Linked DNA regions of Mus musculus: all the other regions are reported to be linked to region 4. Evidence: microRNA targets listed by miRTarBase, many of them from high-throughput screens and not tested one by one. Region 4 holds a microRNA gene; each other region holds the end of a gene's coding sequence.

Region 1 (7,116 bases), not on the chromosome of region 4:
TTGGTTAATAATACATGACGCACATGGAGTTCTTTATGCTCTCCTGGCACTCTCCAAGAGAGCACAGACAAACGCAGACAGTCCGTATTCTATCTATTGCGTTAATGGCTTCTAGAGACTTGTTTTACAGCCGGGCGATGCATATCTTCAATCTCAGCATTCGGGAGGCAGAGGCAGGCTAATCTCAGTCTGAGGCTAGCCGGGTCTACGCAGGGAAACCCTGTATGGGGGAGGGGCTATGGACAGAGAGCATCGTGACTAAAGTGTATTGAGCACCACAGTGTGCTGTGTAATTGATTGTGGGAGGTGCTTGCATGAAATATTTTCACCCCCACTACAAGAAGCAGCAGCCTGGAGCGTCTTGCCACTTCAGCTACTCAGGAAGCTGAGGCAGGATGATCCCAAGTTCAAGTTCCCTCTAGGCTGCACAGTGAGTTCCTAGCAAGCCAGCAAACTCAGTGAGATTTTTAAATTTTGTCTCAAAATTTAAAAAAAGAAAGGAAGAAAGGAAGGGAAGAAGGAAGAAGAAGAAAGAAAGAAAGAAAGAAAGAAAGAAAGAGAGAGAGAGAGAAAAAAAGAAAGAAAGAAAGAAAGAAAGAAAGAAAGAAAGAAAGAGAGAGAGAGAGAAAATTAGGGATGGGGGGGTTATCTATCACTCAGCTGCTAGAATGCCTGCCTAGCATTCAGGAAGCCCACATAAATCAGACATAGAGGCCTATGCCAGCAATCCCAGCATCTAAGGGGTAGAAGCAGGAGGATCAGAGGTTCAAAGTCCATCCTCTGCTACATGGCAAGTTTGAGGTCAACCTAGGGTACATGAAGTCCTGTCTCAAAGAGGGGGGGGTTGGGGCTGGAGAGATGACTCAGGGGTTACAAGCGCTCATTCTGAAGGAGTCTGGCTCTCAGCATCCACATTGCGGGTTGGGGGTGGGGTGCTCACAAGCACCTGTAACTCTAGCCTCAGGGACAGAATTGGAAAATAATAAATAAACGACTTTAAATAAAGGGGTTGTAGGGAGAGTAATGTGACATGCTTGTCCAGCGTGTGAGAACTCCTGGTTTCAATTCCCAGTAATATACACACGTACACGAGTACACACACACACACAAATTAAAGAAGCATTTGTTATTCCCATTTTTTTTTCAGATCAAGAAACTGAGGCTGTGTTAACTTATCTCAATTCTCCCAGAGAGACCTGTCCCAAAGACAGGGTCAAAATCATCTTACAGGTGCCCTATATGAGGCACTCAGGACTCCTGTGAAAATAACCCTCCCGGCCAATGTGAAAGACATGCCTCAAGGATGCACCCATTCCACAGAGCATGAAACTGAGGCTAAGCCACAAAGTTACTCTCCAGCTACTGCTGACTGAATGGAATCAGGAGTCACAGTTTGTCCTCAAAAGTGGAAACAGTGAGGCCTGAATGCTCAGGTGTCCCCAGAAGAGTGAGGAAGAGCAGAGAAGGAAGAGATGCTAGAGGTACGCAGCCAGTGCACCCCCAAATCCTCACTTTCAAACCTGGAAGGCTTTCTGCTCTTCTCCCTCCTCCTTTGGGAAGGGCCCAGCAGCGTCTGCCCTCCCCCACCCCTGCTCTCCCTAGGGTGTGTAGATGGGAGGTGGGGCCTTTAGAAAAGAAGAGGCCCAGAGAGCTGAGCAGAGTTTCCCAAATGACTTACTTACTTATAGCGCACGCACCTTGTTCCCAGTAAGGATGGGAAGGTTCACAAGGTCGCCCCTGGGGCGTGTCCACTACCCCACTCAAAGCCGTCCAGATAGGCAAGAGAGATGGGAGCATCCCTCTGAGAGCGCCCGCCTGGCAGAGTTAAAAGTTGGGACTGCCCCCATTACCCACACCCATTACAATGCTTTTTCACAGTCCTAAGAAATATCACCCAAGAAACTGGCCCCAATACTTAAGGGGATGGGACGAAGTTAGACAACGATGGTGTACTGGGCCTGGAATGTCCGTCCCCAGGAGGCAGAGTGCCTGGGGGAATCGCCAGGCACTCTGGGTTGGAAGGCCAGAGGCTGCCAGAGGCTGAGGTCTGAAAACTCCTGTCCTGTCGGGGGCCCTATTTCCCCGACAGGACAGGACAGGTCAAAACCTCCCACTACAGGGCTCTACCTCTTTGTACCTCCACTACTGCTCCTCCTGGCTCTGTGCACTCTCACGGACCCCAGGGTGGGTTTGAACTCTTAGAAAGACAAACAGCCACCCCAAAAGACAAGGCTCCAAAATAGAAAAATACCCACGGCGTGTCTTTCTGCTGTCGTCCCTGCACAGGGGTGTTGAAAGGACTGCTGTCGTCCCTGCACAGGGGTGTTGAAAGGATGGCTGATGTAAGTTAAAGGCGCATTGCATCTTCCCAGACACTGTCCCCAACAACCTAATGCTCTGGAAGTATGCTACCCGGTTGCATGCCTGTCTCAAAAAAAAAAAAAAGAGCACACATTTCAAAGGCCCTGCCAGTGGAAGGCAGGCGAGGAAGGCGGGCAGGGAATAGGGAATGCTTCTCAAAGTTTGGGAAAACATCCCAAATATTCAGGACTCGATGGGTCTGAGGGGCAGGGGAGATGGCACCCTGTGAATTCTGACCCAGTCCTGCACCCCACTTGAATTGGAAATCAAGTGGGACTCAGATGTCTCCACTTCTAGCTGAGCCACCCACTGACCCATCTTCAGGGCACAGAAGTCGGTCGGCCAGGGTGTCCAGCGGCAGGCTAGGTGGCACAGCGGTGTGGGGCAGTTTTAGGGAGCTCTGCAAGCTGGGAGATCCCAGCGCCTTCTCAAGATCCTAGTCCTTGTGTGGGCTGTGAGGCATTTTCGAAGTATCTTTATTCATACTTGTCTGTTTTGGTTTGCAACAACGAAGTTGGAGATTCCCATCTCCACTCCCACCCCCCACCCCACCCCCCACCTTTGGATTTGGGAGCCAGAACAAGGATGAAGAAGACAGCAGCCAACAAACTTTGGTAGGGAGGGTGCTGGAAACTCAATGTTCACCAGCTTTACCCAGATCCAGGCAGGAGGGTCACAGGGAAGAGAACCCTGAGGGTCCACAAGGCAAACACCAGTATCCCCCCAGAGAAACCCTTCCTTTTCAGCTCCTTCTAACCTTTGACCTTCATTTACCTCAGTAAGAGAAGACAAGAATGATGAACTTGTCAATCTCAGGATCCCTGGTGACTCCCAGGTGACAGGGGTTTGTGCTTTGAGGTGTAGGAGTTGAATTCCCAGTTGGACGCATCGCATCCCGCATCCAAGTCATCCTCAATTTCTTCATTTGTGGAGTCTGAACACCTGAGTCAGAGAGTGAGGGCTGTGGCTGCCTATCCAACCTGGTTGGGGGAGGGTCCGGGCAGGGACTCTGCTAGCAGGCACTTCCTGAAAACTTCAGCCTAAGATGGCACAGAGGGCTCTCCGAAGACCTGGATCTGTCCTCAAAACTGGATGGTGTTTGATCAGTGCACCTGGTTAAGGCCGGCCTGTACTTGGGATAAACCCACATGAAGGTTTCCGCCCGTGTCTCTGCGTTTGCTTTCGGTTTTTATCTGCCGTATCTTTTGCCCAGCCGCATCGGCTTCTTGGGTCCTGGTTATCAGACAAAGCTGTGTTTGTGTAAAGAGCAGAATCATCCTGGCAGAGTTGGATGGCCTGGGGTAGGCACTCCAGGGCTTCCATCTCAGAACTCCTTGCCCCCCCTCCTTTCCTAGAATGCCCTGGACTGGACTTGCTAGTGACAGAGAAACCTAAGATAGACCCATGTAGGGCCAAGAACAACCTGTGTCCCCATAGAAGTTTTAATCCAAAAACTACCAAGCATTCAATAGCAGCTGTTATGAACTCCAATATTGTGGCCCCACCATGCCCCCTTGCTGCTGGCAATATTGCTGGGGTGGGGTGTGGTGGATTCTGGGTTTATCTGGAATGAAGATGAAGCCCCTAGTTCTAAGGCTGGGCCAAGCAGGGCTGCTAGCATGTGAACTCAGCGCAAACCTTAGGAATCTGACCTTCTGGGAACTATCCTTTCCCTTCCTGACTGCTCGAGGAAGCAACACCCCAGACCAACTTTTCCCAGGACCGCATTTTTTCACACCGCTGCTCTGGGAGGCCTGGGAAAAGCCTACAACACAACCTGGGTTCCCTGACAGTCACAAGTAGGGCCTGCTCCAGGGGGCTTCTCTCTAGCTACCTACTTGAGAACGAGAACGGTCCTCTTTAAAAAAAAGCTCCCATCCACAAAGCCTCCTATCTTTCCCTGGGTCAGGAGTTCTGAATCTTAAGAGGAGGGCAAGCTTTCAGGGAGGCCCCTAAAACATCTGGGAAAGGAGCGAGCCAGCTGGCTTGGACAAAGCTCGCTTCTCCTGGGGCAAGAGGTTTGAAGAGAGCCATGCAAAATGAAACCAGTGTTGGGAGGAACCAGAGATCTCCCGACCCCTTCCTAAGCTCTCTGCTCTGCTCAGGAACCAAGATACACCTGGCCTGCCCCCCTCCACAGCACCCCTGTCCAGTTCTTAGTCCCCCCACTTTATGGAAGATACTGAAGTGTGGGTCACATTCTGGCACTGCAGGTTGAAAGACTGTCTTACATACACGGGTAGGGTAGTATCATCAGGAACCTCCCCAAATTCTACATCAAAACAGCACAGATATAAAACTTGCAGTTTCAACAGTAACACTATATACGTGTTAACCCGTGGCCACCACTAAGCTAAGCAGATGACCTGCAAAGTCCACCCCCCTCCCGGGTCCCTGCCTCCTCCTGGCCTACATGTTCTGTGCAGAAAGAACTTCCATTAGCACAGTCCAGGTTACCAACTGGCGTGGGAATCCATGATATGCCTAAAGTCCAACACGCAGGCCTGTGCTGAAGCTGTATCTTTCAGGCAGCAGATTGGTAAGGCACCCCCACCCCCAGCCAGCCAGGTACATTTTAGAGAGGTTTGTCCCGATCTATTTTCCTTTTTTTTTTTTAAAGAAATGAAATACAAGAATCAAAAAGAAAAATAATCTCCCTGTTACTTAGCATGCTGAAAACCAGAGCCATTTCAGCGCTAAAATATCATGCTGGAGGCGCACAGTGGCTTCTTTTTCCACCACGCCGGAGTAAAATATTTAAAGCCCAAATTAAGAAATAAATCAGACTGAAATTCACTTCTAATCTGATCCCAAAGCCGGCAGTTAAATACCAGAGACCTACCAACCCTCTTTGCTTCTTGCTGGCACTCTTAAAACGCCAACAGGGGCAACAAGTCCGCATCTAAGGAAATGGAGGGAGCCGAGCACTCACCCAGGCTCCTGCTACGCTGAGGTTAGCAAGCTGCAGGCCGTTTGTCCTTTCTCGGTTTCTCCCCTCTAACAGAGGACAGCTGGACACCGAGACAGGGTGACACCATTTTGTTTTGACAATTGGCAACAGTTTTCTGCATCCCGCAAAGCATTTCGTTAACAGGCCAGCAGCACGTTGCCCTCAGGCAGCCCTGTCCGTGTGTGGATGGAGAACAGTTTCTCAGATTACCTTGAGCAGAAAACAAAAATATCTCAGGACGGGATAGTTCAACAAATCAAGAGCCCCTTCTATTACTAATCGAGAGCTCCATCGTCCTGTAACCTGTATATGCATCCAAGTACCAGGCCACCTGCATCACAAAAATAATCACAACTGGGCTTACTACAATTTCCCTTTTAAAATTCAAGAACACAAAGACACTGTCCGAACTTTGGGCAGAAAAACAACACGGGTTTATTTTAAGGTAAATACAACACTGAGATCACATAAGACAAACACAGGTGAGATTGAAATTTTAAAGTCTTTTGGTGTGTTTTTGGAATACCCCAGATGGCATCTACTGTACAAAGCCATGCACTTCCTAAATTAAAAGTATCCGATACTTAATTTCGTTATCCAACAACAACAAAAAAATAAATTATTTTCTTGTTTTGTAAAAGACCTACAGTTTGGGGAGGGACCTATTTTATCATGGTGACGTGGGGAGAAAAGACCCACACACGTTTCTTGAATTCAATTTGGCAGTAACAGTTGGGCAAGACGAAACCTTATCCAGTGGACACAACTTTAAATATTATATTAAAGGCTCTGGGCAAGAACAAAATAGCCTGGTTACAAATCCGCACTCGTTTACAGAAGGCACCTTATCCGGAGAGACCTCTTGCGCCCGTGGAGAATCTCCACAGAAGTCATTAGGGGTCCCTATGGGGTTTGGTCCATAAGCTAATCTATGAAGCCCCAAGGGGAGCAGGCGCAGCATCTGGGTAGGGGAAGGAATTAAAAAAAAAATCTGTATTTCGTTTTGCTGGGCTGCATCCCCCTTAGAGGGACTCGCTGAGATCTCAAACTGAGCTGCGGATAAGTTACCTGCGAGTTGCACGGAGCTCTCTGCTCCTGGTTCTGAGAGAGGGGCGCTTTCCGTCGCTTTCTGCGGCTCCGTCGAAGAAGGTTCCCATGGAGGAGGCGAAGCCGGTGCGGTCCTGGGGCTGGAGCGGACTGGACAGCCTCAGTATTTGGTGCAGTCGTAAGAGTAGGGGGCTGCGTGGCGGTAGAGGGACGGCGTAGCTCGATAGGGCAGCTGACAGCTCGCATTGCTCACCTGGGACTCCCCGAGGGACGAGTTGTCCAGTCCTAGCCGGTGCGAGTTGAACATCTCCCGGACGTTGGGGAAAGTTTGCTGTTGGGTTGCAAACGTGTGGCCGGGGAGGTGGCTCAGGTCCCCGCCGTGGTTCAGATACCAGGAGGTGGCCTGGGTGGCGGGCTGCGGCGCGGGAGGGGGCTGCGGGGCGGGCGGTGGCGCCTGCGGGTGGAGGTGGCCGTGATGCTGGTGGTGGTGACCCGAGGCCCCCAACGCGCCCTCCTGACCCGCTGCGAGGTTGAGGGCGCCGAGCGGGGAGCCGGGGCCGCTCGGGTGGTCCGACAGAGCCTCGTCCAGCGCGGGCGGAACGCACACGTGCGCGGGCCGCTCGGCCCCGGTGTACAGACTCATAGCCCGCATACTGCACTGGTAGCCCGCGGAGCCCGCAGCCTCCAGGCCCTGCGCGCACGGCTGCGTGTAAGCGGCGGGTGGCGCTGCGGCGTATGGCAGTGCCAGCGGTGGCACC
Region 2 (7,099 bases), not on the chromosome of region 4:
TCTGAGGCACTTGTAAAGGATGCATAGTCCTTAAAAACAAGTTTCCAGAAGCAGAGGCCTGAAGGAGGACAGTGGAGTGAAGGGAGGACTGTTTTAGGTCCATGGGAGGACTGTCTCCCTCAATCCCACTCCAGCCAATCACACTAAGCAATTCCCAAGTGTGTCCCTTTCCCACCCAAATATGGGGTTTTAAGTGTCATATAGAAGTTTACAGGTGTTAATGTGTGTTTTGAGAGAGGGTCTTGGCCAGGCATGGTGGCACACACTTTAATCCCAGCACTCAGGAGGCAGGGGATTTCTGTGCATTCAAGGCCAGCCTGATCTACAGAGTGAGTTCCACAACAGCCAGGGCTACGCAGAAGCAGTCATTCCTGTCTCAAAAAACCAAATAAATAAAAGACAGGGAGGGTCTCAAGCAGGAGCCTCACCTCTCTGAAAACCCCTGGGGTAATTCCAAGCTTTGCTCTGTGCCCCATTTTACTGCAAACCCTCAAGTCCTGCCCTCTCCTCAGCTGCAGTAAAACCACCTGGCCCACATCAGAGACCACTGCCTTGTTAGAGTAGGCCTGGGCTTGTATGGTAAACAGTCACATCCCAGGACTAAACCTCCATTTACAAATTTCTCCTTTATTTTACGCCTCAAAAGGAGACTGCTCCTGCCCTTCAAGGCCTTTGCTGTGGTCAGCTCCACTCCTGACCTCAGGACCCTGGCCAGTTAGAAGCGCTTCCTCGTGGTGGGTCTGACTTTGGTGTCATTTCCTCATTATTTGTGCACCCAGTGACCCCAATACTCACTAGGGTTCAAACTCAGATTCTCAGGCTTGACAATAAGTGCCCTCACCTGCCAGGCCATCTCACTGGCCCAAGATGTATTCCATATGGAAAAAAGCTCAGAGGCGCAGAGCACTCCAAGTCCTAACATGAGGCTCAGGGCTAAGCACGGATGGAGAGCGTGCCTGGCCACAGGGTACAGCCAGGCGGGGCCCTCCATTGTTCAGTAACCCATCACTCTCGGCTAGTCTCTCCTGCAAGGTGGCCTGACTGACAGTGGGAGCTGTGTGCAGCGTTTGCCAGAGCTAAGTTAAGTTCCTGCTCTGGCTGCCCCGGGCTTCACCCTTCTCCTTGCAGCTTGAGATTCCTGGGGACTTCTAATGTTTTGGGGTCCCTTGTTTACTATTCTGATAGACAATAGAGCCCAGGTGTCCTTCAGACACTTCTGCCCAGGTGATACGCTGTCCGACCCGTGTGGCACTGATCACCCAGCTGGGAATGTCAGCAGGCTCCTGTAAACCCAACCAGGAGCATGGCATCCGGTGTCCCCACCGATGACTGTTAGTTTATGACTTCCTATGACTATGAAAGTTTGCAGCGCGTGACAGCCAGGGTGACAGGAATCTGTGTTCCCAGGCCAGGGTCACAAGCCCCGGCTTGGCAAGAATCACCCCATTTCTTCCCTTTTGTCAGGCGGGGCTCAGCTGACCAGAGAAATTTCAGGCAGTGAGGACCACAGGAAAGGGAAGGGGAGGTCTGACTTCCACCGTGGGATTCTCCAGACCCTTAAAATAAGGCTGGGTTTGTGGGAGGCAGGGGGTACATCCTAGTCTACTCCAAAAAGAACGTACAGGTGTTGACCCCAGACCCAGGAGGGCTGAGGGAGGAAGATGGCTTCAGGCCAGCAGTCAGAGGCTGGCTAGTGTGGACCATAGCGGGGTTCCAGTGGTTTGAACCTGCTGAAAGTCCCCAGTAGGTGACACTGGATGCACAATGACAGGTTTCAATGACTTTATTGGTTCTGAGTAAAGAGCGTGGAGTTTCCCCGAGTGCAGCCTGGCAGGCCCTTCTCCCTTCTATCCCCCGGGGTCAGGATGCTTGGTGGGAGCTCTGGCCTCAAAGAGAAGACATACTGGGCCTGAAGGGTCTCAGAGGGCAGAAGTGCCCTGTTGAGAGGATAAAACATCTGAGGTACTGGGGGGTCCCATACACCAGCCAGGCCCCCTGTGGGGGCACCCAGGAAGCGCTCCCTAAGGTGTGGCTTCAGCTGCCCTGGGCGGAGCCAACCCAGGCTTTGAGGGAAAAGAGCCTGGTGCCAACCAGCATTAGTGAAACCTCTTTTTATAAAAGAAAACCCTGTGGCTCTTGGGGAATAAAAGTTTGGTGGTAACTGACTCCCCCCTGAGTCACCTTGCCCACCTCTCTCCCTCTCTTCCTGATAATTTGGTTTTTTGTCTCTCAAATCCCAGCCTGGCCTCTAACTTGGAGTGTAGGGGGAGGCTGGCCTTGAACTCTTGTTCTGCCTCCAGGACCATTGCCTGGATGATGCAATCCTTACAGCTTGTGACCAGTGTCCCTGACACCAGTGACAGGCCTTACTGACAGGCATGTTTAGTGGCTGTGGCAACTCAGGATATAGCTTTTCAAACCCAAACATTGACTTGGGTTCATTCCCCTACTGCTGCATATAAAGAAAAAAAAAAAAAAAAGAGCTATGTGCCCTGTTTTCTAGTCCAGACACTGTACTTTGGGGGGGGGGGGCGGGAGGCATTTCACCAGACACAGAACACCAAAGCCCCTCTATCTGTTTGCTCTCTCCAGCCTGTGGATGTAGAGAAATGGTGGGCTGGGGAGGGAGGCCACCTGCCTGGGTACACATTTGAGAAGCCATCGGCATGCATAGGGACCCCACAGGGACCCCCACAGCCCCAACTCTCAGAGTCCAGGCTCTGAGAGTAAGGCTTTGTCTCTATGTTCCCAGAGGGGACTCTGGGCTCAGACACTCCAAGGGGTAGAGAGGTCAAGGGTGAGCTGTCTAGACAGTGGGAGGGAGAAGGGCAGGCTGGAGGCGCTCTCCTAGCATACAGCAAGGTCACCTTGGGGGCGCAGGCACAAGCATCCTGTGCACACAGCAGCTGGTCTGACTTCCAGCCAAAGTCCTCACTCAAAAGCACCTAGAGTCTGCTTTTCCAACTTCCCCCAGCCTCGGGGTCCCCGCTTTCCTGAAGGTTTACACGCCAGCTTGAGAAGTACAGGAGAGAGTTCCCATTTTAGCTGAAGCCATCAATTTAACTTCAAAGATCTGCCCCCAAAGCAGGCTCAGGCGGAGGCTTAACCCTGCCATCCCTGGGACCTGGAGGCAAGGAATTCAAGGTCACCCTCAGCCACATAGTGTGAAGCCAGCCCAGGCTACACAAGATCCTGTACCACCCCCCACCATCTCCCAAAAAAATGAATTCAGAAGATTGGTGCCCACTATGGTGATCCTGCCTCCAATTCTTGCAGTTTGGCCCTCCACGTGGCCTCAGGAAACACTGGAGTGGCCCAGGGCACAGCATGCTGGTGTTGGTCTGAAAGCTACATCTCCACACCTAAGTTGATATCATAAATCAGACACTTTCTCAGACTGGCTGAGACCTCAGATTCTACCACTGCTGTCCCTGCACAAGTCCCTGGCTTCAGGTTTATGCCATGTTACTTCTCTTGCTCCGCTGGGCTAGCTTTCTACTTTGCCATTAATGGTAAGGGCCAGCCAGGCCCAGGTCAGGCTCTGCCCACACATCTGCCTACCTCTTGAAGCCCCACCCACACTCCCCAGGGTAAGCATGGGAAATGAAGGTCAGTGCTGGGGTGACCTGGACCTCAAGGGTCAATGTGACCAGTCTAGGTGACACCTGGCAACTACAGACCCTGAGCCCTACCTGCCAAAAAACGACAAAAAAAAAAAAAAAAAAAAAAAAACAAGTAGTTTTGGATCAGGGCAAGGGGTGTGTGTTTAAGAGATACCTAAATAAATAACTACCAGCCCCATGTCCTGGAATCCCCCTCAGCTCAACAGTGGGGACTAGAACATGACATGTGCACCCTCCTGGGGTCCCTGAGCATGGTGTTCCCATGCCAGGGACTTTGGGAAAATTGAGAGTGGAGCACAGCCCATGGTCTTCCTAAGGAAGACTTGCCAGGCACTGATACATCTGAAGCAGGACTGCCACACGTTGGAGGGCCAGCCTGAGCTACAGAGGTCAGGTAGAACTCTGCCTCAGAACACAAAAACAAAGACATACGGGAACCAAAGTCAGATCCACCTTGGTCATCTCAGGGGGAGGCTGAGGCCACAGGACCAGGAGTTCAAGGCCTGCCTTGTCTACATGATGTCTCAAAAGCCCAGAGCCCTGGGGAATCCCTTACTCCTGAGCCCCCATCTTCCTGCCCATGGCTATCTGGGAAACTGCAGGGCCTCTCTCTCTGGAGAAGGTGTTAGCACAGGACTGGGGGGAGGGTAAGAGGGGGAGCCCTCGTTATTCAAACTGCAGGCCCACACCCATAGATGCCTTTGTAGGGACAGCAAATCACCCTGGGGCACTCCAGGGTGCCCTCAACCCTGAGATTCAGAAAGAGAGCCAACCACTCAGATCTCCATGTGGCGACAAATAAGCTTCAGACCCAGGATCAACAAGATGATGACATGAAGAAACCACATCAGAACAAGGAACACTAGAGCTTAAAAGTAGCCAGGCCCAGCACACAGGCTTTCACAAGCCCTGCACTGAGTAGGCCGAGGTAGGAGGGTCAGGATTTAAGGTCAGCTTCAGCTACAGTGAATTGGAGGCTAGCCTGGGCTATAGGAGACCCAGTCTCACAAACAACAAGAAGATCCAGGGATGAGAAGTCACTTCAGAATTCAGATCCATCAATCCCGTGGGGACACCGAGGTCTCTATCCATCCACAAAAGAGAAGGTGGCATCCACAATGTACTTGGCTTCACTGGCAGGAACTGTACTTGGTCTTGGAAGGAGTCCAGGTCACATGCTACATCCCACCCTTCCTGAGAGCCCCTCCTCCTGGCTTGGCAGTTCAAAGTCAGCCAGAGACAAAGGCTGGCTGGAGTCCCTGGCACACTTCCAAATGCAGTTCAGCAGATATCCCTGTGGCTGATAGGACATGCAGGGACATGCCTGGGCACCGCAGCCTCTCACCCCAGGTCCCTCACAGGATATTAGAGGCTGGCTATCTCAAGATGGAGAAAATCCACAGCTCCAGGTGATGGTTCACACGGTAGGTTCTGGGTCCCAGGTGGGCCATGTGTGGTGGCAAACACCTGTCCCCTTAGTGCTTAGGAAACTGAGGCCAGAGGATCAGGAGTTCACACGAGGCCAGCCTAGGCTACCTGAGACCCTGTCTCCAAAGAAAAAACAAACAAACAACAAATACCCTCTAAAGTTTAGAGTATCTAAAATTTTAAGAGTCTTAAAATATCAAAAAGAGAACAAGAAAGATCATGGCAGGGTCGGCTCCCCACAGGCACCAGAGGCTACTGCGGCCAGGCCCTTGGTGGCCATAGCAGCCTGCTCTTCTGAGCAAAGGGAACCCACTATGGAGACCCAAAGTATGATGGCATTTTCAGGGCAGGAGGCAAAAGAGGCCGCCCTCCCCAGGAGAAAGGAAAGACACTTGTTGGTTAGGCCTGAAGTCTTAACAATGGGAACATAAGTTACGCTGTTCTGTTCTAGCACTGAAGGAAGGTGGGTACAACAAAGAAGGATGGGGACAGACAGAGGCAGAGAGAGACAGACACAGACAGAAACAGACAGAAGATAGAAAAGGCAACCAGGTCCCAAGTGGCTTTGGCGGGGACCATCTAGGGTTTAAGACATGGATTAGAGCTAATCTACTTTATGATACTTTGTGAGGCCCCAGCCACAGGGCAAGCTTCAACTCCTTGTCCATACACCTGAAAATGCAGACTGCGTCAGGGTCAAGGTGGCCCCATGGCATGTGTGCAGACCACTAGCCCTGGCCTCTGGGCGCAGAAGTGTCCCCAGATGATATTCAGATGGGAGCTCTCTCAATTGCCCCCTTGTGGTCCATTAGGAGGGGCAGATGAGTCAGGATGGCCCCTCTCTCGGCACCGCACCCAGGTGTACATGGCTGTCAGAGCTGGCGGCAACAGCTGATGTCTCCCTCGGCTTGCTCCAGGACACCCAGCATCTCCTCGATGATAGCTCGTAGCGCCCGGCCTAGCTGGTCGGCGTTGTAGGGCTTACCCAGTGGGGGCACGTGGACAAAAGCGGAGCGGCCGCGGCCCTGGTAGAGCGATGTATAATACGTGAAGTCACACAGATACCTGAGACAGATGGGAGGAAAAGTCACAGTCACTATGTCCCAGGCCAAAGCCACCAGGCTTCTGAAAAGTCCTTCAAAGCTCTGGGGCACAGCTCTGGGGCACAGCTGGGAGGTGGAGGAGAATCTAGGGGTCAGGAATTTGGGGGACCCTGGATGCCTACTCTCCATTTTCTGAAAACGTATTTTGCTGGGCATGCACTCAGAAAGCAGATGCAGGTAGATGTCAGGCTGAGGCCAGCCTGGTCTATGCAGAGTTCCAGGTCAACCTGGGCTACACAGAGAAACTATCTTCAAGCCTAAGGTGGAGAGTGACTGAGGAAGTTATCTGCTGTTTCCTCCCCAGCCTCCCTGCTGGAGAGGAAGCCCCCCCACCCACCCCTCAGGGCCTGGAGCCTACCTGCCAGCATCCTGGGAGATGGTAACAGACACGTCCAGTCCCAGTGTGGTCACCCTTTTGCACACGGCGTCCATGTCGATGATGGAGTCGATGCTCTCGGGACCATCCTCCACGCAGCACTGAGAGCCGGGGCAGAACCGGCAATTATCCAGTCCTTTGTAACCCTTGTTGTGCCCACATTTTTCCAGCGTCACTGTGGTGGCCATGCCCGACACCCCAACATGCACTACGAGCTGGGGACAAGAGACAATTGGGGGACGGTTAGCAGGAGCAGCACCCACCCATACATGGGGAATAAAAACAGTGAGTCTCTGTTGTTGTTGCTGGAAAATGAGCTATTAACGTGGCTACCTAGGAGCCCAGGGTGGCCTTTGGCTTCACCTTTGAGACAGGGTCTCAGACTCTCATGTAGCCCAGGCTGTCCTTAAATTCATGATCGCTAAGACGATGGTTATCTACCACCACTGTACCTTGCTTGAGGTATGTTTTGTTTTGTTTGTTTTTTAGTTTTTTGAGATGGTTTCTCTGTGTAGCCCTGGCTATCCTGGAACTCACTCTGTAGACCAGGCTGGCCTTGAACTCAGAAA
Region 3 (7,116 bases), not on the chromosome of region 4:
AAACTCAAGAAGAACGAAGACCAAAGTGTGGCCACTTTGCCCCTTCTTAGAATTGGGAACAAAACACCCATGGAAGGAGTAACAAAGTTTGCAGCTGAGACGAAAGGATGGACCATCTAGAAACTGCCATACCCAGGGATCCACCCCATAATCAGCCTCCAAACGCTGACACCATTGCATACACTGGCAAGATTTTGCTGAAAGGACCCTGATATAGCTTTCTCTTGTGAGACTATGTCAGGGCCTAGCAAACACAGAAGTGGATGATCACAGTCAGCTATTGGATGGATCACAGGGCCTCCAATGGAGGAGCTAGAGAAAGTAGCCAAGGAGCTAAAGGGATCTGCAACCCTATAGGTGGAACAACAATATGAACTAACCAGTACCCCCCCCCCCCGGAGTTCATGTCTCTAGCTGCATATGTAGCAGAAGATGGCCAAGTCGGCCATCAGTGGCAAGAGAGGCCCATTGGTCGTGCAAACTTTATCTGCCTCAGTACAGGGGAATGCCAGGGCCAAGAAGTGGGAGTGGGGGTGGGTAGGAGTGTGTGTGTGTGTGGGGGGAGGGCATGGGGGACTTTTGGGATAGCACTGGAAATGTAATTGAAGAAAATACCTAATTTTAAAAAAAGGAAAAAAAAAGATAATTATTTTATGACTTTTTCAAGGTTTGTAACTGCATCACTGCCAGCTATTGGATCTCATATTAAACAGCTCCCCTGTATTCTTTTGCTGCACTGTTTGCATTTCACGGGCAAGCAAACCCTACTCCATATTGTTTTCTCTGAGACCCAGATCTTGCCTGAAATCTTTCCGTTCTGTAACTGTTCTCTTAGATTGTTGTAAATCCCTCTCTGGACTGTAACTTGGGAACCTGCAGGGATACCTGTGTATGAATATGTAAGCATATTCCCTGTAAACACACTGGAGGCGACCCTAAGAAAGCAGACACACCTTGCGTGGATGTGCTTCTTTGTATTTTTTTTTTCTAGCTTTTTAATGCATTGACTGCTTCACGTTGACTTGTCCTCAAGTTCTTTTCTTTGACAAAGCTACAAATGGAGAGTTCTCCCAGCCTGGAAGTCTCTACAAAACCTCCCTGGGCTGCAAGCAATGAGAGCTTGGCAAGGAAGGAGCTGTGCCCCATCCGACCTGACAGCCGTGCAGTGCGGGAGGTAGAGCAGTTGGACGTGAGACTCACCCACTGCTCATACTCCTTACACTTTTTAAAAGTGCATTCTGGGACTTTATTGTTAACTATTTCTTTATTCTTAACTATTTTTGAGGCCCACTAAGGAAATCTATTTCTTTTTGGTCAAAAGAATGTTATTTACTCCTGGCCAAGTTACCCAAGACATAAGAGTTAATCCAGTTGAGCTGGCCCACCAGCTGGGTAAACCCTTAGAAAGGCCAGTTCACTCTAACTGATGCTAAAGAGATAGAGGATTACTGATCCCTTTAATGAGATAATGTACTTTCCCCCTAGAAAGCTGGGCCCAGGTGCAGTTACTATTGAGTTACCATGAAGCTTTGTTAGTTCAGTCCCCTCAGAAAAGGGGGGAGGGGTTGTTTTGCTTTGTTTTGTCCTGATCCCCGCCCCCTTCCAACTCCCCAAAATGGTTCTGAACTTGAGCATGCTTTCTCTCACCCTTGGGCTCTCATCACTTTTTCTCTGAAGCCCTAGGACATACAGCTGCTTGTTCCACTTGTGGCTGACACCCATTGCTAAACATTAACTTGACATGGCTCTCCAACGTCCTCATTCTCTCCTGGTAGCTGCTGTAATTTCCAGCTCACCTGCCATGTTGTTGATTAAAGTCTAATAAAATTGTCCTGGAGCTTCTTTCTGAGTCTGATAACAAATTATTTTATTGATAAGACTAAGAACCCTGAAAGGGGTTCTCAATTTCCCCAGTAATATGATGGTGTCGGTGGGGCACCCAAATTTCCAGTAATAACTCAACATTGGTCACTATAGATTTAACATAAGTATGTTCAGATTCTAGTTAAAAACTTAGACCATTATCAAATCTTAAATGAAGAATTCAAGGGTTTCTAGTGCTGTAAATACAACCCTAGGAATCCCAGTACATTAGACAGAAAGCAGAGAAACTACAGCCAAGGTTTGGAGCATTTGTTTAATATACAAAGTCTTTCACAGATAATTAGTTTCCTTAGTTTGTTAAGCACACATTACTCACAAACAGTAAATTGTTAATGAAAGACAATTAGGTAAAACTAAAAATGTACAAATGCCCAATCTCAAAGAATTGCACAGTTAATACTTTCTCCTTTGTTTGAATGTTATATCTAATTTCAACATGGGCTTCCTTCAGATATGGGGGAAACACTGCAGCCCAACAGAACAGCTTCCTTTTAGTTGTATTGTTATGTAAAATAGCACCATTGGGCTGATGGAAGGACCAGTTACAATAATGATGGTAGGTTTTAGCTTCTGCACTTAGTATTTGCTCCAAAACATCCATTGGTAAGGCAAGATAAATTATATCTGACAGATGGAATGAATAGATTCCCTCCCTCCCACCCCCACCTTTGTGATTTCTCTTGATGATGTCATTGTATTAATGACCTCATTTTTTAGTTGAAGAACAAATGGAGGCTACCTACGTCTTCACAAAAGAAAAATTATCAGTATGGATGAGGGTTATTTTGTGGGATATCATCACCAGTAGCAGCAGCAGCAGCTCCTCGAAGTGAAGTTTTGATCCTGGGACAGTCTGAGAAAGACTACTGTCTGCATTGTAACCCTGGGAAATTGGGACTCAAGATTTTCTTTTTCTCCATTTTTGTAGGGTTTTATACTTAAGTTTACATGCTTTGGGTCACTTTACTCTTTCTCTCTCTCTCTCTCTCTCTGTCTCTCTCTCTGTGTCTCTCTTTCTCTTTCTCTTTCTCTCTCTCTTTCTCTCTCTCTCTCTCTCTCTCTCTCTCTCTCTCTCTCTCTCTCTCTCTCTCTCTCTCTCTCTCTCTCGTGTGTGTGTGTGTGACTGTGACTAGAGACCACAGAGACCAGAAGAGGTGGAGTTGGAGCTACAGGCGGTTGTGCCCTGTTACGTGTATGCTGAGAGCTCGACCAGGAGCTTCTATGAGAGCAGAAAGTGTCTAACCACTAATGCACCTCGTCCATCCCTAGGCTTTACCTTAAATGCTTTAATTTACTTCATTTCTCATTGACTAATTACACCTAGTGAAAATGTCAGCTCTTGATAGGAAGCGCTTTCGAAGTCTGGTTTATGGTGTTTCTTAGCACAGCTTTATGTTGTGTTTATAAAAATCCACTTTTAACAATCTAAACTCAGGGATAATTTTGTTTTAATTTCACTTTATTTTTTCCATGAGAGCAGGTAAACACACTTGAAGACAATGTCATTCTGTCAAGCTGGTTTTTCTCCTTGAGCAGTAAGTCAGGCCATCAAAGCCAAACCTTTCATTGTTATTAAGGGAAAACACCATTACCACACAATGTGAAAAGATATTTTCATTACTGGATTTATTCATTGAGTTTTAAACCTTGTTTGTTTGTTTGACTTTTGAAGAAAGCTCTCATGCAGCCTAGGCTAGCCTTTAGTTGGGATTCACTATGTAGGAGAGGATAACCCTGAAGTCCTAAGCTTCCAGAGTGTTGGGATTACAGGTGTGTACCTACTATGCCCGGCTCCAACACCACTGTTGTATATATGAATAGTTAGGGCAGATGGTTTGAATCATAAATAGTAATTTCAGGTAATAATTTAGAGGAAAAAATGTGGGTTTTAAAGCATCAAAATATATCAGAATAATCACTGTGTGGTACATACGCTGTTCAGAATTCTATCATATACTCATTTAAAAACAAAGCTCACCATAGTTAACTTGAAGCGTTTAGCTATTACTTTAAAACAATGTGCTATCTTTTCTTATTGTTGTAGCAAAGCTTGTCTCTGCTTTTTATTCTCTTTGTTTTAGTACTGGTATCCACCTTGGAAAATTAGTTGTAGCCAACCACCTTCCTCTATGAAACAAGCTACTCAAATATCCATCTTGGTTGTAAACAGTATTTTCTGTGGTAATTAAGGTATTTAACTCATTTCTTCCTGTGGTAAAAAGGTAAATCATTTTTAGTTTGCACTTGCAAGAAGAGGTAGATCTATCTCTTCTTGTGCAGTATTGGTAGACGACAAATTATCATCATAGGAAGAGCAAGGGGAACTATACAGAAAAATTGAATGATGGTCAACCCCTTTGTGTGAAGTCACGGGCAATCCATCCATCCTTCCTTCCTTTGCTGTCCTATTCTTTTTAAATATTTAAAATGAAAACTTTGCAGGAAGTTAATACAAAGTTCCAGTTATTTGTGCTGAAGGCCTGGTCCGGATTAGTTATGTCCATTGCTTTGTCCGTGCATATTTAATCCATGTCCCTCCTACAGGTTTTAAGAAAGATGAGTATTTAACCTTTTGTTGTTTGACTTGACTTGACCTTAACATTTCTCTTGCATATATACATGAATATACAGGTCATACACAATTGACATTGTTTACTGTGTCTTTATTTCTAAGGGTGGGACGATTTGGACCCAGTGTCAGTCACTACAAATACTCTTCTCATTGAAAGATCATTTTGTCTTTCCTTTTCCTTTATCACCCACGAAGAACAAACACTGATTATTACAAAGTTCATGGATATGGATCCCAGATGTGTGCAACGTGATGCCCGTGCTTTGGTTCTTAGGGCCATCTCTGCCTCTTCAGGATAATAAATAATGACAGCTAACAACAACAACAACAACAACAACAACAACAACAACAACAAAAGTCACTTTAAAAAATGTGGTCATCTTTCTTTCGACAGCTAACTACTGTTTGTGAGTATTTACCCAGCTCATTGCAGTTATCATTCATATCAGTTGATTTGAGTCTGTGTAGAGCACAGTAGTCAGCTGTTGAACCGACAGCCTATCTTATCTCTCACCATGGAATGTATTGAATATTTTTACTTTTGAGCTGAGTGAGGGAAATACTGTCAGGTTTAAACACTGGGTTAAGATCCTTAATTAAGGTACCCATGTCACGTTGACCCTCCATGTGGATTTAAAAACCTTAACACACCTGATTTAGTGGCAAAATAATTTTCCCTATCATAATTACTTTATAGCTTCTATACAGAAGTTGACTTCATAACATTGCTACACATTTTACTGACTTCCTATACTTTTGTGGTTTTTTTTTCCGCCCCTTTGAAAGTTGGTTGAAATCAAGCCAGAATACTTAATGTGGTGAGTTTAGTGCTTTGTAAATTGTAACCTTTAAATGAAACTGAAAAACAGAATCACAGATTAAACTGCTGTTTTAAAATAACCAACTTAAATGAAACAGATGTAGTTTCTAATGCAAGGGCTCTGCTAACCAATATTCTTAATTAAATCCTGTCTGACACACTTTATTCATATTGAGGTGTGTCATAAATACATGCAGAATTTTGAAGACTTGGTTCAAGAAAATAATGAAAGCTATCTTTTAACTGTTTTCATTGATGACATGAAATAACTTGTATATGTAGAGTTAACTAAATTATGAAAATAATTGACCTATTTATTTTTACTTTTCCTAATGTGGCACACTAGGAGATTTAAAATTTACAACTGTGGTTGCCTTTGTAGCTCGTGTTATATATCTGTTGTTGAGCACTGTGTAAGAGGGACCAGAAAAAAACAAAAACAAAAACAAAAACAAAAACAAAAACATGGCATGATAGTGGTCCAAAAAACAGTGAAAGCTAAATTCCACAATGCCCTGAAAATCTCTTCTTCCATCATTTAAACAAAATTTTAAACATTTCTATCATCAAATGTGTATTGCATCCATTTAAAAACATGCATCTGTCAAAATAACCAGACTTCACAATAGCCAGAAAAAATCAGCTGTCAAAGTATAAAAAAAAAACCCTCTCAAGTCCTCCAAGTTTGCTTCTGGTGTGACTTAGGGATAACGCACACACTTTCAGGCTTAAGACCAAATTTTTTGTTTTGTGTGTGTGTGCGTGTGTGTGTGTCATTTCCAGTGGAGAAGGCTAACATTACAGAACCCTACAAAGAAGCATACATTGCAATTGAAGTCTGTTAAGGGATTCCTCTGCACTACTTGAAGGCGTATCACATGTCCATCACTCTGGAAGACTGGCGTGTACCAACCATTCCTTATGAACTCATTCCCCAAGACACTCTGCCTTTCCAGGTCCCACCGACGGCTCTGCTTCTTGAGATCCTGGTCATGTGTTATTTTCTTCTCATTTCCTTTTTGCTCCAAGTCAGGACAAACAAGACAGTAGGGGAAAGGAGAAGATTAAGAAGCCACCAGAGCAGAAGCACTTCTGTTGGTAGTGGCTGGGGGCTGCAAAAATCCTTCTGTGAAGAAGTTCCCCTCTAGTTCCATCAGACTGGTATAACCTCAGGTGGGGCTCCCTCTGCAGTTGGCAGTGTATTTGAACCTGTCTGTGGCACAGGCACAACCACAGCATCCTTGATTTCCGTGTTCACATTACACGGGAAGTTCTTCTCCAGTTTGTTGGCAGTGTCTGGGCAATTCTGCACAAAGATCACACGGTTGTAGGCCTTCAGCCGGCGCCACAGTTGGACGTAGACTTTACACTGTACATACATGAAGACGAGACCTCCCGTGAAGCCAATAGCCACCACAACCAGTTTTGTCCAAAATGGCCATTCCAGCACACCTTTGAGAAAGAGAGAGTGCTGTTATCAAGTTGTCATTTCTACATTTGGTGTCCCCATCCCCCACTATGACCCTTACTGAGTACACTTGCTTCCCTGAACCATGTTAGGCAAAGGGAATGGGGTCAATTTGCGGTTGCCCAAACTATGAAACTGAGCATTTTCATTATAGTCACACTAATCAAAAAAACAGTAGACCTGATTCATTCTCAGTTGTTGTGGGTGTGAAGATTTTTACTGAACGGACTAATACAAACTTCAGTACCCTGGCAAAAGCTTTCATATTTTATGTCCTATTGTTCACTTGTGGGGCTAGTATTTGTGAAATATGATTTCTTGCATTTTAGTCACACAAAAAAATTTCTTTAAATGTGTTACCTCTTTTTCCCT
Region 4 (7,104 bases):
TTAGGCTCCGGGGAGGAAGAGTTGCCACAGGTGTTAGAGGCTCTGCTCTCAGAATGCAGAGCTGGGCTAACCACTAGGAATGTAGGGCCACCCCCTTTACAGAAAGACAGATGACCTAGAAAAAGGTCCCCAGGGTATGTTTAGCCGTTTGTCCGCAGGAACGTGGCCCGGAGCGGGCAGCCAAGCTCCGGGTTTATGCCCAGTCCTCAGAGCCCAGTTTTCACCTGGGTGGGAGATGTGGCAGGGAGATTTGCCCGGTGCTGAGGACAAGCTGGCCTGGTTTCTGCTCTGTTCCTGTTTTGGTTTTGATGTGTTTGTTTGTGGTTCTAGGGCAAGTGTTCTTCCACGAGAAACCCTGTCCTTGTTTATGGCTGTGGCCTACCCCAGACTAATGCTGCTTGGAATGTGATCTAGATGGGGTGGGGTGGGGGTCGGGTGGTCTCTCCTAGGCTGATAGTCTTCAGAGTTAGCAGCCTGTCCCCAGAGTGATCTCCAGGGATGCAGGAGCAAGCTCTTAGGGTGCACTGGGGGGGGGGGGTGCAGGGCTGAGGGTACCCCACGGCATGCAGGCAGGCAGTGGAGGTGTGGATGAAGAACAAGTCCCTGGGTTCCTTGCTCCCTGCCCAGCTAGGGAAGAGGAACCGAATTACCTTCCCCGAGATGTGCAGTGAGCCCCTGCCTGTAAATCTGCTCTAAGCCATGGGGTGGCAGGGGGTGGGGGCAGGGAGGAGACCACTGACAGGGCCTATGAGGGGCTACTCTGCCTCTGTCCCTTTGAACTCTTTAGCCCTTCTCCAAGCAGGACTCAGCCTTGGGTTCCCAGCCCCACCTGGGCCTGAGGCCTTTGACCTCTGCTGAGATGGTGTCCCTGAGGAATTGGGGCCGGTGAACAGGTGGGGAATGGCCATGTGGCAGGGGCCCATGCTGTAGGCCTGTGTAAGTCAGGTTGAGTTTGGGGGTAAAGGGGCCTCTCCTAGCCTGCCTCCATTAGCCTGTGTCCTGCTCACCCACCCGTGCCGGCCCGACCCACAGGAGTTTGAGAATGCTGAAGGGGACGAGTATGTGGCCGACTTCTCGGAGCAGGGCTCCCCGGCTGCAGCTGCACAGACCGGCCCCGATGTGTATGTCCTGCCCCTCACCGAGGTCTCCTTACCCATGGCCAAGCAGCCGGGTCGCTCCGGTGAGTGGTGTGGGGTCGCTTGGGGCATGGGCACTGGGAAGCCGAGGTCTCCTGGCCGCATCTCAGGCTGAGCTGTGTTGGGAGGTGCGTGGAGCCCCTCTGGGACCCAGGCTTGAGAGTAGCCTTGTCTGTCGCTCCTCCACCCCAGGGGCTGCCATGAGGTAACTGGGGCAGGTGGCTCAGCACTCTGGATTATCCATCTACCTCTGTTCTTCCCAGACTCCTGCTCCTTTGTACCTGTAGGAATGTGGCCCCGTTGTCCCTACCAAACAGGCTACCCACACAGCATAGGGAACAAGAGAAGCATCAATGCCCACCCCCTTACCCCCAACCCAGGTGTAGGCAGGGCCTCTTCCCATAGCTTCCTTGCCCTGTCTGCCTCTCCCATTTGCCTTCCTTCCAGAGCCTCTCCCTGCACCACCACCACCCCCCTCCTCTTTAGAGGTGACGGGTAAATGCTGCCCTGGTCACCTTGGTGCCTGGGACTATGACTACCTCTACAACAGTCAGCTCTCAGGCCTTTACAGCCTGGAAGTTTCAGCTCAGGGCTGTCTCTTGTCCATCTGATGGCGCCAAGGACACCGCGGAAGGTTTCAAGTGGAGAGTGCGGTTGGCCCCATCCCTGTGGTGAAAAGCAGGCCGCTCTTAACCTTGGGCCAGCCCTCCCAGGCTCTCAACACAATGCTTCCCATCCAGGGCCCAGCCTGCATCAAAGTACCTGTTTGAGCCAATAGAGACTTAGATAAATGCTGCCCTGGTCGCCACCAGCCTGACCCAACCCTGAATGCATGGCTCTGTGGCCCATCGAGTCTCAAGGGAGTGAGCTCAAAAGTCAGGCAGGATCCAGACATGGACACGTTTACCCACTGGCTCAAAGGCCTGCAGGTGTCCTTAGCACCTCCTAGGAGGCAGGCTTGGCTATCTATGGCCAAGGACAGTGGGACAGGGACCCAGGAGAGGGCAAAGGTGCTTTTTGCACTGCTCAGCTCTGTTGTTTTTTGGGTTTTTTGGGGGGGGGGTGCATCTTCTTTCAAGGAGGGAGAAATTTGTGTGAGATGGGTCAGCCCACCTAAGCCGCCTCCTCTACCTCTAGCTCCTAACATACAAGCACTCTCCTGCCCCCTGTGCTTGCCCTGGGTTCTACTGTCAGGACCCTGAACCCACTCTGGGACAACTGAGGTCCTAGAGACCCCAGGGTTTCCACCAGGCATTTAGACAGATTAGGTTCAGGGTGTAAGTCTTGGGGGCACAGTGCCCGGTGAGACTCTTCCATGAGCTGGGCACCAAGCAGACTTAGTCCCCGAGGGCTGCCATCTTCCCTTGGGCGTCCCAGCAGCCCTGACCCCGGCCTTCTGGGCTATCAGCGTGGGAGCAGAATTCAGAGAATCCGAGGGGGCATGAGTGGGTGCAGTGAGCCCTGGCCCTTTCCTCTGCCCACGCTGACCCTTCTTCTCCTCTGACTTCACTCTGCCTGTCTCACAGGGAGAATGGAGCCAGTGTGTCCCGTACAGGGCTGTGCCAAGCAGCCCCCAACAAAGGCGGCTTTGCTGTGGTGGGGGTTTGAATGCCAGCCTGTGGCAGGGGTAGGGGGTTGGTTGCTCTGCTGTCCTCCCAGGCCTCGGCACCAGCTTCCTGCCTCATCCAAACGCCTTTCCAGGCCCTGCTGTTTGGGCTTGGCTTCTCCCTGTGGCTCTGCTCTGGGCATCCCCAGGCTTTGCCTGGATGGAGACTTGAGGTCCATAGCTCTGCTGACAGCAGCCACCCCAGAGCCTAAGAGACACTGGCCCTCGATGACAGCGCTCAAACCTGGCCTCCACTTTATTGAAGCTTCTTTGGCTGGGGAGCTTGGGAAAGCTCTCTGGGCTCTGGAGAGCGTGGTCGGGAAGATGGAGAGGGAGCGGTGGCTAAGCTGTGTCTGGATTTCTGTTCCACTCTAGTGCAACTTCTCAAGTCCACGGACCTGGGCCGGCACAGCCTCCTGTACTTAAAGGAGATTGGCCACGGCTGGTTTGGGAAGGTAAGCATGCCCCGGGGTGGCAGGAATGGCAAAGGGTGGACCCACTACTCCTGGGGATCCCCTAGGGAGGGGCTCTTTCTAACACCCGCCCCAGACTGGACCATGTACCTGATTCCTTTTTCCTCATTGTAGTCCCCAGGCAGTGAGAAAAGTAGGAGCCTTGTGGGTGGACTGGGGCTGAGGGTTCTAGCCAGAGCTTGGTGAGAAGTTGTATGACCATCTGAGGCCCTGGGCGCTAGATGGCTTTTCCTATGGAGACTGAAAGGGGACCTGGTGATGCCTGTCACATTTGGCAGGTGTTTTTGGGGGAGGTACACTCGGGCGTCAGTGGCACGCAGGTGGTGGTGAAGGAGCTGAAGGTGAGCGCCAGCGTGCAGGAGCAGATGCAGTTCCTGGAGGAGGCGCAGCCCTACAGGTGGGTGGTGTGGCGGGGGCGGGGTGGGGCCGGGCAGGGGAGCAGCACAGTGGGAGAAACTGAGGGCTATGGGACACCCTCTCCTGCCCTCCAACTTAAACACCCGTGGACTCTTCCAGGGCCCTGCAGCACAGCAACCTGCTCCAGTGCCTGGCCCAGTGTGCTGAAGTGACCCCCTACCTGCTGGTTATGGAGTTCTGTCCACTGGTAAGTGGTCCTCTCGGGGAGGTAGCTCTGTCTCTCCCGGTCCTGTTCTGTAGCTCATTGTTCCAAAGGGGAGTGGCTCCTCTCTTGCTCAGCCTCTTGGGGTCTTTTGTTATTTCTAAAGTAGAGTCCTGGTAGTCCTTGCTCTCCCTCAGAGGAGGTCTGCGGAGAGAAAGTGAGCCAGCAGCAGCAGGGGCAACACTGTGGGGTCTTGGATAGTTCAGCGAGAGGTGTCCTGGGACAGCCACAGGGCTCCCGAAGCTCCTGGGGCAGAGCCTGAGTTCTGGGTCTTCGTGTTGCCCCTTGGGCCCTTTACATGCACAGCTCTGGTGGCTGCTTATATGGAGGTCACTGTGCCAGAATTGAGACACAGGCTTTGCTGAAACAGCAGTGAACACTAGGGTTCACAGCTGATCCACAGGCCACCAGACCCAGGTTCTCTTGGTGTGGGTGGCAGACTTGTGATGGGCTGGTCGCTGCAGCTAGCAGGTGACTGTGTGCTCTCTCGTCCATCAGGGGGACCTCAAAGGTTATCTACGGAGCTGCCGGGTGACAGAGTCCATGGCGCCTGACCCACTTACCTTGCAGCGCATGGCGTGCGAGGTGGCGTGTGGCGTCTTGCATCTACATCGACACAACTATGTACACAGGTGAGGGCTAGCGAGACTAGCCAGGCTACAGCTACAAAGCCCCACTCCCCCAGGGCCTTAACCCTCACCATCACACGACCCTGTGCAGAAAAGTCACGGTGATCCCACGTTGTGGGCCTCATGAACTGGGTTCATCTAAAAATAGCCACTCTGCAGGGAACTTTATCATTCTTAGAACTGGGAAAACTAACTGGGCATGGTGGCTCACGCCTTTAATTGCAGCGCTTGGGAGGCAGAGGTAGGAGAATCTCTGTGAGTTCAAGTCCTGCTAGGTCTACCTAATGAACTCCAGAATAGCCAGGACTATGTAGCAGGACCATCTCAAAATGAAATAAATTGTGAAGACTTGGCATTTGAAACTCACCTTGCAGACAGTTAAATGAAGAAACCCATCCTGTCTACTAGAGCAGTCAGCCATACTTGGGCTCCATACCAACCCCAGCCTCTTTCCCTCAGGCCACAAAGGGAGTGGCTGGGCTGGCCCTGTAGTGGGAGGGGTGGCTCTCTCCTGCCTCTGGTGGCCAGGATGCCCAGCCTCCCATGAGCTGGGGGCACATGCTGGAAGAAGTGGCAACGGACAAGCGGCCCACCAGCTCCAACGCTGCACAGGCCGTCCTCCCCAACAATATCCTGGTGCTGAGTGGGTGCACAGTGACTCCAGCATCAGTGATTTTGTTGAAGAGGGCAGCTGCCAGCCTCCTGCCCTGCCTGCTGCCTAGCCCAGCTGCCCCACCCATAGGCATGGACCCAGGTCACCCCACCCTGTCCCCTGACACAGTCCTCCTGGGGTAGAGGCAGGCCAAGGTGGCCCCATCTACATCCAGAGATCTCTCAGCAGAACAGCCAGTATGGCAGATGAGGGTGCGTCCCGTGGCACTCTATTGTCCTGTACCCCAAACACCTGGGGGTGGGGCGCTATAGCCAAGCAAGAGTTATACAGAGCCTGGCATTCCAGGCTTCCCACTGAGTTGGTGATTTTTATCCTCCACACAAAGGGGCCTTTGTGGTCCATACTGTTCTAGACCTCGGCTCCAGCTTGTGTAGCAGGCCAGGCAGGGCTGCACTCTAGAACATGGGCTCTGACTGCTGGCAGGACCCTCTGAGACACTCCGGGCTTCGGTTTCTCCATCAGTTCTTACCTCCTGGGGACTGGGATGGTGGAGTGTAGTCGGAAGGGTGAGGGTCCTGAGAGGACACTGCAGACTCTCTGCTCCATGGCTTGTTGGCCCTTGTTGGGCAGATCAGACAGAGGGTGGAGCGGGTTAGGGCTCTGGTGCAGTTAGACAGCACTTTGCTGGGGGGGGGGGGTCGTCCTTGAGCATCTTTTGCCTGATTTTCACATGCATTGAAGTGCATTGAAAACCGGGCTTGGTGGCGCAAGCCTTTAATCCCAGCACTTGGGAGGCAGAGTCAGGAGGATTTCTGAGTTCGAGGCCAGCCTGGTCTACAAAATGAGTTCCAGGACAGCCAGGGCTACACAGAGAAACCCTGTCTGGAAAAAAAAGAAAAAAAAGAAGAAGAAGAAGTATTAGAAATGCATTGAAGTCCACACAGGTCTTCCAAAATAGCCAGTACAGGGTGTGGAGCCAGAACTTGGGCACAAGTGGGTGGCCCCTCAGACACCCCTTCCTGTCGGTCTGCCTGGCTGTGCCCGGGAGCCCAACCATTCCACCAGGGCTCACTCAGGCTGGCACACTCTGCTGACATTGCCTTCCACTCCGCAGTGACCTGGCCCTGAGGAACTGCCTGCTTACGGCTGACCTGACAGTGAAGGTTGGTGATTATGGCCTGTCGCATTGCAAATACAGGGTGAGTAAGGCCGTCAGGGCCCGTGTGCAGGGGCAGCTGCTGAGCGGAGCTCACTCCCATCCTGTCCCTGCGTGCTACAGGAAGACTATCTCGTGACCGCTGACCAGCTGTGGGTGCCGCTGCGCTGGATCGCGCCAGAGCTGGTGGACGAGGTTCACGGCAACCTGCTGGTGGTGGACCAGACCAAGAGCAGCAACGTGTGGTGAGCGCAGGCAGGGCTGCCGGGAGGGCCTTGGGATGCCGCCTCCCCAGATGGCGCTGGCGTCAGCTATTCTAGTGGGGATGCTGCCTTTCAGTTCTGCCCCCTGCTCCAGCATTTTGACTTCCTTCTCTGGCTAGGATTAGGGCTGCCACACAGGGAAAGTGTACTCATGCCTGCCACCTTGTGGCCATGAGAGGCACTTTACAGGCTACTTCGTTGATGATGGGTTCCTGAGGTTCCTATACTGGTGTGTGTGTGTGTGTGTGTGTGTGTGTGTGTGTGTGTGTGTGTGTAGGGGGGACTGCCTTGACAGTCAAGGGTATGGGGCCTTCAGGATAGGACCAACTGACACCCCCCCAATACTGGCACCATATTTTGGTTAAAAATCATCCTGAGATGCTGTTGAAGGCCACTTGTCCTTAAGGGATACAGGATTCTGCCTTGCATCTGTGCCTCTAGAGAGGGGCGGCTGTGGCGTAGTGAGGTCCAGTCCCAGAGAGGCTGACATGATGACAGGTGTTCAGGGATTCTGTGCAGTCATGCTCAGCCACGTGTCACTGTGGTTGCTCCCGCAGGTCCCTGGGTGTGACCATCTGGGAGCTTTTCGAGTTGGGTGCGCAGCCGTAC

Evidence for each region. The annotated mature microRNA mmu-miR-3065-5p reads UCAACAAAAUCACUGAUGCUGG and lies in region 4 at 5,124-5,145, opposite strand. An mRNA with a match to its seed (bases 2 to 7 or 8) in the 3' UTR can be bound and repressed. Matches are read on the target gene's strand: a 7mer-m8 pairs with bases 2 to 8, a 7mer-A1 pairs with bases 2 to 7 and ends in A, and an 8mer does both.
Region 1: miRTarBase lists Foxc2 as a target of mmu-miR-3065-5p. Seed matches in the 3' UTR shown: 7mer-m8 at 5,916-5,922.
Region 2: miRTarBase lists Pgpep1 as a target of mmu-miR-3065-5p. Seed matches in the 3' UTR shown: 7mer-m8 at 5,522-5,528, 7mer-m8 at 5,194-5,200 and 7mer-A1 at 4,441-4,447.
Region 3: the mRNA of Marchf1 is a reported target of mmu-miR-3065-5p. Seed matches in the 3' UTR shown: 7mer-m8 at 4,806-4,812.

What each region holds. Positions count from the first base shown.
Region 1 is chr8:121,117,502-121,124,617 of GRCm38, reverse strand. It overlaps Foxc2 (forkhead box C2), which reads right to left. Exons shown (of 1, transcript NM_013519.2): 1 at 5,723-7,116. The coding sequence ends at 6,519. Among named protein-coding and RNA genes, the nearest start is that of Foxc2, 4.9 kb to the right of the region's middle.
Region 2 is chr8:70,644,670-70,651,768 of GRCm38, forward strand. It overlaps Pgpep1 (pyroglutamyl-peptidase I), which reads right to left. Exons shown (of 5, transcript NM_023217.4): 4 at 6,513-6,745; 5 at 1,767-6,116. The coding sequence ends at 5,924. Among named protein-coding and RNA genes, the nearest start is that of Pgpep1, 12 kb to the right of the region's middle.
Region 3 is chr8:66,467,844-66,474,959 of GRCm38, reverse strand. Marchf1 (membrane associated ring-CH-type finger 1) reads right to left here. Exons shown (of 9, transcript NM_001293784.1): 9 at 3,323-6,728. The coding sequence ends at 6,430. Among named protein-coding and RNA genes, the nearest start is that of Tma16, 15 kb to the left of the region's middle.
Region 4 is chr11:120,012,821-120,019,924 of GRCm38, reverse strand. Mir3065 (microRNA 3065) reads right to left here and starts at 5,158; the gene lies at 5,072-5,158. It overlaps Aatk (apoptosis-associated tyrosine kinase), which reads left to right. Exons shown (of 14, transcript NM_001198785.1): 3 at 1,033-1,180; 4 at 3,118-3,197; 5 at 3,494-3,612; 6 at 3,732-3,819; 7 at 4,333-4,466; 8 at 6,191-6,275; 9 at 6,356-6,477; 10 at 7,053-7,104. It overlaps Mir338 (microRNA 338), which reads left to right and starts at 5,063; the gene lies at 5,063-5,160.